Arabidopsis thaliana: one gene and its partners. The protein of the gene in region 3 interacts with the protein of the main gene of each other region in a biochemical or structural test. Each region holds a gene or a part of one and is shown on either strand. Other genes may lie near its edges. The genes, in order: PP2AA3, FTSH1 and CHIP.

What was found.
Region 1: of the proteins of CHIP (region 3) and PP2AA3, one has a biochemical effect on the other in vitro, tested with the Arabidopsis thaliana proteins (one study listed by BioGRID).
Region 2: of the proteins of CHIP (region 3) and FTSH1, one has a biochemical effect on the other in vitro, tested with the Arabidopsis thaliana proteins (one study listed by BioGRID).

What each region holds. Positions count from the first base shown.
Region 1 is NC_003070.9:4,566,149-4,569,900, reverse strand, and holds the start of PP2AA3 (protein phosphatase 2A subunit A3), read left to right. Parts: upstream 1-2,051; 5' UTR 2,052-2,212; intron 2,213-2,524; 5' UTR 2,525-2,552; coding exon 2,553-2,945; intron 2,946-3,154; exon of another isoform or gene 3,155-3,317; coding exon 3,318-3,564; intron 3,565-3,752. Other genes in the region: AT1G13340 (Regulator of Vps4 activity in the MVB pathway protein), read left to right, coding at 1-279; AHP2 (Tat-binding protein 1(Tbp-1)-interacting protein (TBPIP)), read right to left, coding at 491-589, 673-861, 948-1,018, 1,105-1,372, 1,733-1,758, 1,866-1,893. UniProt on the Arabidopsis thaliana protein: The A subunit of protein phosphatase 2A serves as a scaffolding molecule to coordinate the assembly of the catalytic subunit and a variable regulatory B subunit. Involved during developmental process such as seedling and floral developments.
Region 2 is NC_003070.9:18,615,399-18,619,150, reverse strand, and holds the start of FTSH1 (FTSH protease 1), read left to right. Parts: upstream 1-1,995; 5' UTR 1,996-2,220; coding exon 2,221-3,546; intron 3,547-3,642; coding exon 3,643-3,752. Other genes in the region: NTMC2T5.1 (N-terminal-transmembrane-C2 domain type 5.1), read left to right, coding at 1-93, 253-727, 808-896. UniProt on the Arabidopsis thaliana protein: Part of a complex that function as an ATP-dependent zinc metallopeptidase. Involved in the thylakoid formation and in the removal of damaged D1 in the photosystem II, preventing cell death under high-intensity light conditions.
Region 3 is NC_003074.8:2,358,532-2,362,283, reverse strand, and holds the start of CHIP (carboxyl terminus of HSC70-interacting protein), read left to right. Parts: upstream 1-1,734; 5' UTR 1,735-1,982; coding exon 1,983-2,087; intron 2,088-2,392; coding exon 2,393-2,460; intron 2,461-2,569; coding exon 2,570-2,633; intron 2,634-2,789; coding exon 2,790-2,861; intron 2,862-3,163; coding exon 3,164-3,297; intron 3,298-3,387; coding exon 3,388-3,541; intron 3,542-3,626; coding exon 3,627-3,737; intron 3,738-3,752. Other genes in the region: AT3G07380 (glycosyltransferase family protein (DUF23)), read left to right, coding at 270-442, 825-960. UniProt on the Arabidopsis thaliana protein: Has E3 ubiquitin-protein ligase activity and may target misfolded substrates towards proteasomal degradation. Regulates the activity of some serine/threonine-protein phosphatases by E3 ubiquitin-protein ligase activity.

The DNA of each region.
Region 1 (3,752 bases), on a different chromosome or scaffold from region 3:
GATATTATTGATGTCCCAGTGATGTCATTCAGAGAAGACCCTGTGAAGCTATTGGAGAAGGATACTATTATCTACGATAGTGAAGAAGAAACCCAACCTAGTGTTGAGACTATTACTATTAGTAAGTCTAAAGATGAGCAAAATCGTATGGTTGGTTCGAATAGAGCGGATACAAGACATGTGGACCACATGGTTCGTTCAATTGAAGATCCTATTATGCGTAAAGCAGGTTTGAAGGGTCCAGTTTCAGTCAGGACAAGACAGGTTCGTGGATACTAAGTACAAATGTTATAAGTTTTTCAGGTGCATCTACGGTGTAATCACTCAGTTTTGTACTTTTCTATGTTCTTTTTGTGGTCAAAGATGTAAGATTATTGTGTTCTTTATGGATATAAGCTTTCAATGATGTTGTACAGTTGCATATGTGTGTGTTTATACAAGAAACGTTTCTAGAAAACTTTGAATCAAATTCGAAGAACTTACCTGAAAATTACTGTCCTCGAGGCCTCTTTTTACCATGTTGAATTAGGTCAGCATATGCCTGGAAACTTAGACCGACATCTTCATCGTATTCAATTCCAAGCTCCTCCTGCAAAGTAACAGTAGTCAAAAATTATGGCGAAGCTGATGTAGTCTGTAAGAAAAAACTCCTGAAGAAATATGAGTTTGCACCTTTAGTTCCTTCACATCTTTGGGAGAATTCTCTGTTACAGTATCCCAAATGTCTCTGAACATCCTCTTACGCTTGCGCCACTGATTAATCTTATCCGCATACATATCTTCAACAGCCTTTTTGTCTTCTGGCCTCACCAATGTAATCCCTTCACGTAGTTTGACCAGTTTCTCTTCCATTTCCTTAACCTGGTACACAGTTGAAATCACTTTATAAGCTATCAACAACCTTACTCAAAGAAAGACAAAAACCAAAAGGTAAGAAAAACATATACCTCTTTCCTTAGTTTGGCATCTTTCTCTTGTATCTCTTCTAGTGTCAAGTTTGACTGCAAACTCTTGATTTCTGCAAATAACATCACAGAACATAACATTATCCAAGCAGCTATATCACATCCTCAAAACCACTGAGAAAAAGTAGTTTTTTCACACCTGATTCCACATCACTGATAGTTTTCTTCTTCTCTTGAAGCTGTTCTTGAAGTTTGGCATTGTCTTCTTTCATTTGAGCAAGTTCTTCAGAGTTTGGAATCTCAAACTGGTCTTGTCTAGCAATGTATATCTTCTGCTTACCATACTCTTTAAACGTGATTTTTCCAGCATCAGCAAGACTATCAAGTGCCTTTTGCACCGCAGTCTTCTTAAGGTTAAACTTTTGTAGAGCATCAGCTGCATTTTGAGTGTTTAGAGGTTTGTTTTGCTGCATCAAAAAAGTACCAACAACACATTCATCAAAATCTAACAACAATAATACAACAGATTGAAACAAAACTTGCAATATATATATATATATATATATATATATATATATAACCTGTATCAATCAATTTTTAAAACCTAGTCAATATCAATAGCTTCAAACGAAAAATTCATGTGTAAACTTATAGCACAAATTGAAACCCAAGTGATTAAATTCCCAGATTCAGAATCATGTGAACATCACTGCGTACCTTAACCTAGACTCAATTTCAAATTCGAATTCTAATTTTTATGGTCGTATCTGTTTGTGATCTCCGTTTAGAATTAAAGCAAAAATGTAGAATCGCAGAGAAGTGCTTACCTCATTGACAAAGTTGAGTACGATAGCTGCAGAAATAAAAAATTCAGGAAACAAGTAAATAAGAGAGAAATCAAAATGAGGAATAAGATCAAAGAGAACTAGCAGATTTTTTTCAGAGATTATATCATTATACCTTCGGTGTTATCCGATTTAGGAGCCATTTTTGTCGAAATAATTGGCGGGAAATAAAAAACCTGAAGCGAGAGCAACTTTTTTCCTTTTCCGATATTTTCTGAGGAAGAAGAAGAGAGTTACTGAGAAGCTTCCTTTATACGAGAGAGATATTAAACGAAGTCGTATTTGTTGGATATATGGGCCTTTATGTATTATACATAAGCCCATTTAGTTCTTATCTTTGACAGGCCCAATTATATGGACACAGCTTGAAGATGGTTTAGCTGCTGCGAAAGACGAGCTCCGGTCTCATTTCTCGTTCTTCTGATTGATAGATCGCTCGGAACTTGGAAAGCAGCGTAATCGGTAAATTCTCGATCATTTCTTCAATTTCGAAACATTTTCCAATTGTATATTGAGAATCTCAAATCGAATTATTGTTTAGATCTTCTCTCTTTATTAGTCTAAGAATGGTAATAGTTTCTCTCTAGATTGGGACGGCACAAAGTTTCAGTTCTCCATTCTAATCATTTTTTAGAGGCTAATGGGTCACCTTTGAATTATCTCAGAGGCGGAATTGAGTTTAAAGTTTGTAACTTTATCGTCTTTTGTATTGATGGTGTCTATGTATGCATTGTGTTTTATTCTGACTTTGTGTACATTTGTGTTTGATTGAAGGTAGGGAGTGATTTGAGTTTTGGTGAGGATGTCTATGGTTGATGAGCCTTTATACCCGATTGCTGTGCTTATCGACGAGCTAAAAAACGATGATATTCAGCGTAGATTGAACTCTATTAAACGGCTTTCTATCATTGCTCGTGCTCTTGGAGAGGAGAGGACAAGAAAAGAGTTGATTCCATTTCTTAGTGAGAACAATGACGATGACGATGAGGTGCTTTTGGCTATGGCGGAAGAGTTGGGGGGTTTTATTCTGTATGTAGGAGGGGTTGAGTATGCATATGTTCTGCTTCCACCTTTGGAGACTCTATCCACTGTTGAGGAAACTTGCGTGAGGGAGAAAGCTGTGGATTCACTTTGTAGAATTGGTGCTCAGATGAGGGAGAGTGACTTGGTTGAGCATTTCACTCCTCTGGCTAAGGTTAGATAAGGCTGGTTTACTTATTTTATCAAATCTCTTTGGTCGATTTTATTGATTCCTTTCCATGCTCTGTCAAACTTAATATTATTAAGCCACTAAAACAGAAGAACATAGATTTTTTGGGGTCCTTTGTCAATTGTCCCCCAAAGTTTGGAAATATGCTTTTCTTGTTCAGTGTTCCCCTTATAGGTGTTTTGGGAAATTGGTAGGTTGAAGTTGTTTACATCCATTTTGGTTGATCTAAGAGAACATCGCTCTGGCTTTAGCGCTCTTTTGGGTTGTGGTTGTGTATGTGACCATACATACCTCGGTATAGGTGCTCGTAATGTGAAACCGACTTAAGCATTACTGAACACTGTCATTGTGTAACAGCGACTTTCAGCTGGTGAATGGTTCACAGCCAGAGTATCAGCATGTGGGATTTTCCATATTGCATACCCAAGTGCCCCAGATGTGCTAAAGACGGAGCTAAGATCAATATATGGTCAGCTTTGTCAAGATGACATGCCAATGGTGCGCAGAGCTGCAGCAACTAATTTGGGGAAGTTTGCTGCTACAATTGAATCAGCTCATTTGAAGACAGACATTATGTCCATGTTTGAGGATCTTACGCAAGATGGTATGCTCTCCCTTATTATATGTTTCGTTTTTCCAGCATATACTCTTACAATTTTCATCAAGCCTAGTTATGGGGGTGGCTGATGTGTAATAGGCAAGTATTAGGGTTACTGCATTGAACACTGACCATTAGCTGAAGTTAAGCAGAATTACGGTTGTCTACATCTCAGCTTCAGTGTCTTTTTATAT
Region 2 (3,752 bases), on a different chromosome or scaffold from region 3:
CAATTCCTTGTTTCAAATCCTAGAGAGCAAGTATTACAAATTGAGGTCAATGATCGTCTTGGGTTTGCTGATATGGCTATTGGTACTGGAGAGGTAAATAATATTTCCTTGGGTACATATTTTTTTTTGTAATCTGTAGAATAATAGGCGTTGAGTACGTATTCTGTGGATCTCTTTAATGATTGCTTGAGGAATGTTGCTTAATATTTATGTTACTGTCTGCATAGCCTTATTATTTAGTTATATGTCCAGGTTGATCTCAGATTTCTGCAAGATACGGTTCCTACAGACAGAATTGTGGTTTTGCGTGGTGGTTGGAGTTTGTTTGGAAAGGGATCTGCGGGTGAGATACTGCTACGGCTTACATACAAATCATATGTGGAGGAGGAAGAAGATGACAAGACCAATGTCAAAGCCATTGATACTTCTGACGATGAAATGTCTGATTCAGAAGAACTTGGCTCATTTGTGCGGAAGGGAAAGCTTTCGTCAGATGATATTGATCAAGAGTCATTTATGAACGTGTTGTCTGCATTGATTGTGAGTGAGGAGTTTCAAGGCATAGTTTCATCTGAAGCTAGAGACGGTATAATTGATGGTGGTGACTCACTTGGGGCACCAGTACCTTCTAAGCCAGATACTAGTAAGGGGTCTGAAAGAAACGCAGATGTATCAAATTTGGATTTGTTAGTTGCAAATTCTGGTAGAGGAGCTGGCGGTGATGGAGGTATACCGAGGCTCAATCTCTTACGATGATTTCCTTTCTATGCTTTCTTGACCTGAAACTGTAAAACCTCCTAATTTCAGGATTAGCATTACTGTGGTTCGGTATTATCACGGGTATATTGGTTCTTGTTGCTATCAACATGGAAGGCTCAAGTTTCTTCAACCCGTAGTATAGTACTATACATCTCGCTGGAGATTTCTGTTGCAAGTAAGTCTCTTAATATATACCTCGAGAACTTGAAATTTCTTCCCCTGATGTGATTGGACAGACAGATTCTCTTTTTGTCAGTTGTTTTCCTTATATTAGAACGTGGAACAACACTGGTTTGTTCATATAGTCAAGAACCAAACTTGAACTTCTTTTTTCCTAGAATAATTATGCTACTTGAAACATTAAAATTGTAGATTCTGTTACTCTTTCTGCTGCTTGTAGTGTACCGAAAGTCAAAACTGGACATCAGGCTTTGTATTTGATAAAATTATGTGTGAATTGAAAATGAGTCAGTTGATTCTTCTACCTTGTGTGACATAGTTCAGTCCAGATATTTTCATGTCAACCTTTTGCCTACCGTGTGTGATAAGCTTATCAAGGCCTCTTTATTTTGTGGCAGGTCTGGTGGTCATCTCTTCTCAACCTTAGATATGGCTTATAACGAGGTCTCAGTTTTGTAATTTAATTTTGTATGTAAATAGCCATTAGAAGAGGGACTCTTACTAAAGGCAGGAAGGTTTGGATCTATTCTGTCCAAGCTCTCACTGTTGTGTTACTCTTTACACTTGTGGTTGATATACAGTACATAAAAAAAGATAGAAACTTTTGTATATTTTGACCAAAAAAAAAAGAGAAAATTCTGACTTTTCGGAAATAAAATATAATCATCGATTGTTTCAATAGGATTGGTAGTAGGAGCAGAACTTGGTTCGTGGAACCATCCTTCATTTCCATTCCCTTATGGTAAGATTGTGGTATTTCATGATTCTCAAATAAAGTTTGACAAAGATAGACTGATCGAAAAGGTGGAGCCTCTTGTTAACATGGGACAGATTAGTTGTGTCGCCGCTGAATTCCATGATCTCACTGATGGCAGACTCAATAATGGTTATGGTATTGAATGAAGCTCTCACGTCCATGTTCTGTTGAGGCTTACAAGACTGTTCTAGTTGGTGGGGAAGTTGTCCGAACCGGAACATAATCCAAACCGAACTGAATTAAATTTTTAAAATTAAACCGAACTGTCCGACCACTACAAAGTTTTTTCGAATTTGCACATTAAATTAATTAATTTTTGTGGCATTTTGCGATCAGTTAACGAGTGGATATGAGGTAGCAAACGTAGAAAGGACTCGAGAAGTCATGGCTTCTGCTTAATCTCCTCTTCCTTAAAAACCAGAAGATCCTTTGTTCCACGTTTCTCGTTTGTAGCTTCTTCTCTCTCAGAATTCAATTCGAATTTTGACAAGTCTTGACGAAGAAGAAGAAACAGAGCTGCTTCAATGGCTTCTAACTCATTACTACGTTCTTCTTCAAATTTCTTCTTAGGATCCCATATCATAATCTCATCTCCCACCCCTAAAACCACCAGAAAACCCTCTTTCCCTTTCTCCTTCGTCTCCCGTGCTAAATACCAAATCACTCGATCGTCTCAAGACGAAAATTCGCCAAATGGTAAACCCAATTCGCCATTCTCGTCGCAAGTAGCCTTAGCAGCTATTCTACTATCTTCAATTTCATCTTCGCCGCTAGCTTTAGCTGTAGTGGACGAACCAGCTTCTCCGTCTGTCGTTATAGAATCTCAAGCTGTGAAGCCATCGACGCCATCGCCATTGTTCATTCAGAACGAGATACTTAAGGCTCCTAGTCCTAAATCATCGGATCTCCCAGAAGGATCACAGTGGCGATACAGCGAGTTTCTTAACGCTGTGAAGAAAGGGAAAGTCGAGAGAGTTAGATTCAGCAAAGATGGTTCTGTTGTTCAGCTTACTGCCGTCGACAATCGCCGTGCTTCAGTCATCGTCCCTAACGACCCTGACCTTATTGATATCTTGGCTATGAACGGAGTTGATATATCCGTCTCTGAAGGAGAATCCTCAGGCAATGACTTGTTCACTGTCATTGGAAACTTGATTTTCCCGCTTTTGGCCTTTGGTGGACTCTTCTTGCTTTTCAGGCGAGCTCAGGGAGGCCCTGGTGGTGGTCCTGGTGGCTTGGGTGGTCCTATGGATTTCGGACGTTCTAAATCCAAGTTCCAGGAAGTGCCTGAGACTGGTGTATCATTTGCAGATGTTGCTGGGGCTGATCAAGCTAAGTTGGAGTTACAGGAAGTTGTGGATTTCTTGAAGAATCCTGATAAGTACACAGCCTTGGGTGCTAAGATTCCTAAAGGGTGTTTGCTTGTTGGACCGCCTGGTACGGGTAAGACACTCCTGGCTAGGGCGGTGGCTGGGGAAGCTGGAGTGCCGTTCTTCTCTTGCGCGGCCTCGGAGTTCGTAGAGCTTTTTGTGGGTGTGGGTGCATCGAGAGTTAGGGATTTGTTCGAGAAGGCTAAGTCTAAAGCCCCTTGTATTGTATTCATTGATGAGATTGACGCTGTGGGTAGGCAGAGAGGAGCTGGGATGGGAGGAGGAAATGATGAGAGAGAACAGACTATTAATCAGCTGTTGACAGAGATGGATGGATTTTCTGGCAACTCTGGTGTGATAGTTTTGGCAGCTACGAATAGGCCGGACGTTCTTGATTCGGCTTTGTTGAGGCCTGGAAGGTTTGATCGACAGGTCACGGTGGATAGGCCTGATGTGGCTGGCAGAGTCAAGATTCTTCAGGTTCTTTTCATAGCTGTTTTATAAAGGTTACTGGTTTGTCTATGGAGTTATGTGAATGATTCTTATTTCTCTCTATGGGGTTTGGTTTTATTTTAGGTTCATTCTAGGGGGAAGGCACTCGGTAAAGATGTGGACTTTGACAAGGTTGCCAGAAGGACCCCTGGTTTCACGGGTGCTGACTTACAAAACCTGATGAATGAAGCGGC
Region 3 (3,752 bases):
CAATATTTACCACTTATCTAAATATAGCCAATCATTATGAACTAAACCAAATTCGAATCATTAGTGAGGATCCAATCTTTGATTTGCAACTTATCCTGCAAGATATTTTCGAATATTTTTGAAAATATTAGATCCAACAACCCTAGCCTCCTTCATCACTATAAATATCAAAGTCATTCTCATCACAAACCAAATTGAGATCAAGAACGATTCGATGGTTATTATCATAATCAATTCATGATAGTGAATGATTGTTTGCATAAGTATTCATGACGAAGTGGATGTTCTTCGTTGATGTTGATGAGTTTTTACATGTTCCGGTGAAAGAGACGATTTCGTCTGTGATGGAATCTTTGGAGGAATATTTTCAGTTTACTATTGAACTGATGCCTATGAGTAGTCAGGTTTGTTATTCCGGTGATGGCCCGGCCAGAACTTACAGGTAACATTCATAACTTTGTTGATTTTAATGATTGAACGTTAACCAAAGCCCATGTGTTGTTTATTGAGTGACTTAGAATATTAGTCACAAGTTTTTTGAAGGTGACATATAATATCAATAAGCATCTGATTCTGTCAACACTTGGCCTGTAAAAGTCTTTGTGCATTCTGTATTAGTCTCCTATGTCGGTCACGATCTTTGCTTTTATTGAACATCACATGATATTAGTGAGAAATGTTGTAAAGATTATTTCTTTTGTTTGTACCAAATATTGAATTGTAATTGGTTTGTATATTTTCTGTTTTTAGGAGGGAACATATCGGTTATTGATTTGGTTTAGTTCAGGGACTAATCTAAATGGTATTTTGGTTTTGTGTTTCAGAAAATGGGGAATTGAGAAACTGGCATATAGAGACGTCAAGAAGGTTCCAAGACGGGATCGGAAATACGCGGTCCAGCCGGAGAATGTATTCGCGATAGGCGTACACATGTCTCAGAATCTACAAGGGAAGACATAGCACAAGGCTGAGAGCAAAATCCGTTACTTCCATTACCATGGTTCGATCTCTCAGCGCCGCGAGCACGCACTCCTTATGTGCTAGACACTACAATCCGTGATGTTGGCCTTGCTGTGAGAACGTTCGAGTTGAGAACGATTGGTGATCGGCTGCTACGGACAAGACAATGAAGAGATGAAAAACATGAATAGTGAATCTAATCAATCTTTAGAAAGAAGAATTAGGTGTTAAGATGATTTACTTTGCATTGTTTTCTTTTGGGGGTATATTCTTTTATTGTATCATATAATTTGGGTAATGGGATCATTAATACAGCTTCAAAATACTCTTTAGTATAAATATTCTGTATGATTTAGAAAAAAGGTCTCCTCATAAATGTTATTATCTTTGTTTTGCCAAAAATAAAAGATAAAACATACCAACTTTGGTTTTTAAAGATCTTATAATCAACAAAATAATTACACCATCTATCATTATATTATATTTTTGTCACCATTTTACTTATATCAAATACACATTTAGTAATTGATACACAACTTTAAACACAATAAAATACATGATTCTAATCAGTAAATAGTCTCCATACTAATAAAAGATTCCAATCATTATTTATACCAGTTTTAAAAAAACTAAATATATGTTACTATTTTTTAATATAACACACACTAATTTATTTAATAAAAAATTTATAAAAGCCTTCGCGCGACGGGAAACCGCGGGTTTAATCCTAGTTGTATAAATAATTTACAATTAACCCAATGACCGGTTTATGGTAGTAAACAAAAAGAATGACTATAAGATCCGGATTATGATCCAAGTCTCATCGAGCTGACCCGGTAAAGAGACTAATCTCTTTCGATAACCGATTCATTTAAAATTCCCTTTTGCTTACTTTTCTCTCTCCTTTCATCGAGAAATTTCGCGGCTACTTCTCTTCTGAAACGCACCGGGACGCGCCGTCGCACAAGTTACAGAGGAGTGTTGGAAAGGATAAAGACTTGGTTTTCTGGGGTGCCGTAGATATGGTTACAGGCGTGGCTTCCGCCATGGCGGAGCGGTTAAAGGAAGACGGAAACAATTGCTTTAAGAAAGAACGTTTTGGTGCTGCCATTGATGCTTATACCGAGGTACATGGTTCTCACTCTCCTTCTCTCAATTTCATCGTTAGGGTTTTGTGTTTTCCGAGATTTTGATTGAGATCTGCGTAGAGTAATAAACCCTTGATTATAATTTCGAAATTGGACAATTCGTTTGTGAATCAGAACTTAATTGCATCCAAATTAGGTTTTGATGGAGTGTACAATTCGAGAATAGACATTTGATGGAATTTATGAATCTTTTATGTGCTCATCGTTATAAGTCATCAAGAAACTTCAGGCTTATTCAATTGTAGTGGTTTTTCTTATCATTTTTTTTTTGTGTAATTGAGTAGGCAATAGCTTTGTCTCCAAATGTTCCTGCTTATTGGACCAATCGAGCACTTTGCCACATGAAGCGAAAGTGAGTATTGTTCTGTCAAGCAAATTTTATACATACTTCTGATTAGGCAATCCTAATGCCCAAATACTTTATGGTTCATGTTTGGCTTCTTTGCTTGCATCAAATTTAGGGATTGGACTAAGGTTGAAGAGGATTGTCGCAAAGCTATTCAGCTTGTCCACAATTCCGTCAAGGTTTGACTCTTTTGATTATATCTAAATGGAATTCTTTTGCTTGGTGTGCTATGTATGGAATATGTCAAGTTTTTTGTTTTGTTTTATCTTTTCTTGGCCTTCTTTGATCCTTTCTTCTCCATCATATGAGGATTTTACAATTATGTTCTGTGGCAGGCACACTACATGCTAGGACTTGCATTATTGCAGAAGAAAGAATTTACTAATGGAGTCAAAGAATTGCAAAGGGTAAGGATCTTTGTTAGTCCTAAGCTTTTTTCTGTAAAATTTATCAGTGGACATGATTGTTTAAGTCGTAACGTTGAGACCTAAGTAGTGTAGTTTCCAAGCATCTTAATGAAGATGTGAGGCACCACTTGAATCTCCATCTTTTTCCTTTTGAAAGATGTCTAAGTGGATACTGTGGACACTTGTTTTAGTTAGAAAAATCACTAGAGATGGGTTGGTTTGTTTATGCCATCAAATACTGCAAACAAATTTTGGTTTGATACCTGTTTCCTGTTAACTTCATGTAGCTACGTTTCATATAGGCTTTAGATCTTGGAAGATGCTCGAATCCAACAGGATATATGGTAGAAGAAATATGGGAAGAGCTTTCTAAAGCAAAATACATGGAGTGGGAACTGGTTTCTGCAATGCGGTCATGGGAACTGAATAGTTTGAAGTAGGTTCTGTAACTTTCTTAATCCAGTGCTATCATTCGACTTGGAACTGTGCTTTTGTGGCTTTATGGAACTATTCATGTTTGTGTTAGGGAAACTTGTGAGGCTGCTCTTAATCAACAACGTGCTTTAGATATGTCTCGAACAGAAGAGTCCTCAGACGAAGCATATACTGCCCATACTGAGCGTTTGAAAGCTCTTGAACGAGTGTTTAAGAAAGCTGCAGAAGAAGATAAACCAACTGAGGTGCATTAAATTTTCTTTAAAAGCTTTTAAGACCCATCGTTCATTTATATTTGAGGTCAAATACATTTCTGGTTTTTCTTTTCAGGTGCCAGATTATTTATGTTGCAATATAACTCTTGAGATTTTCCGAGATCCTGTAATTTCTCCAAGTGGGGTTACATATGAAAGAGCAGCAATCCTTGAACATCTCAAGAAGGTTTGCATTATCATC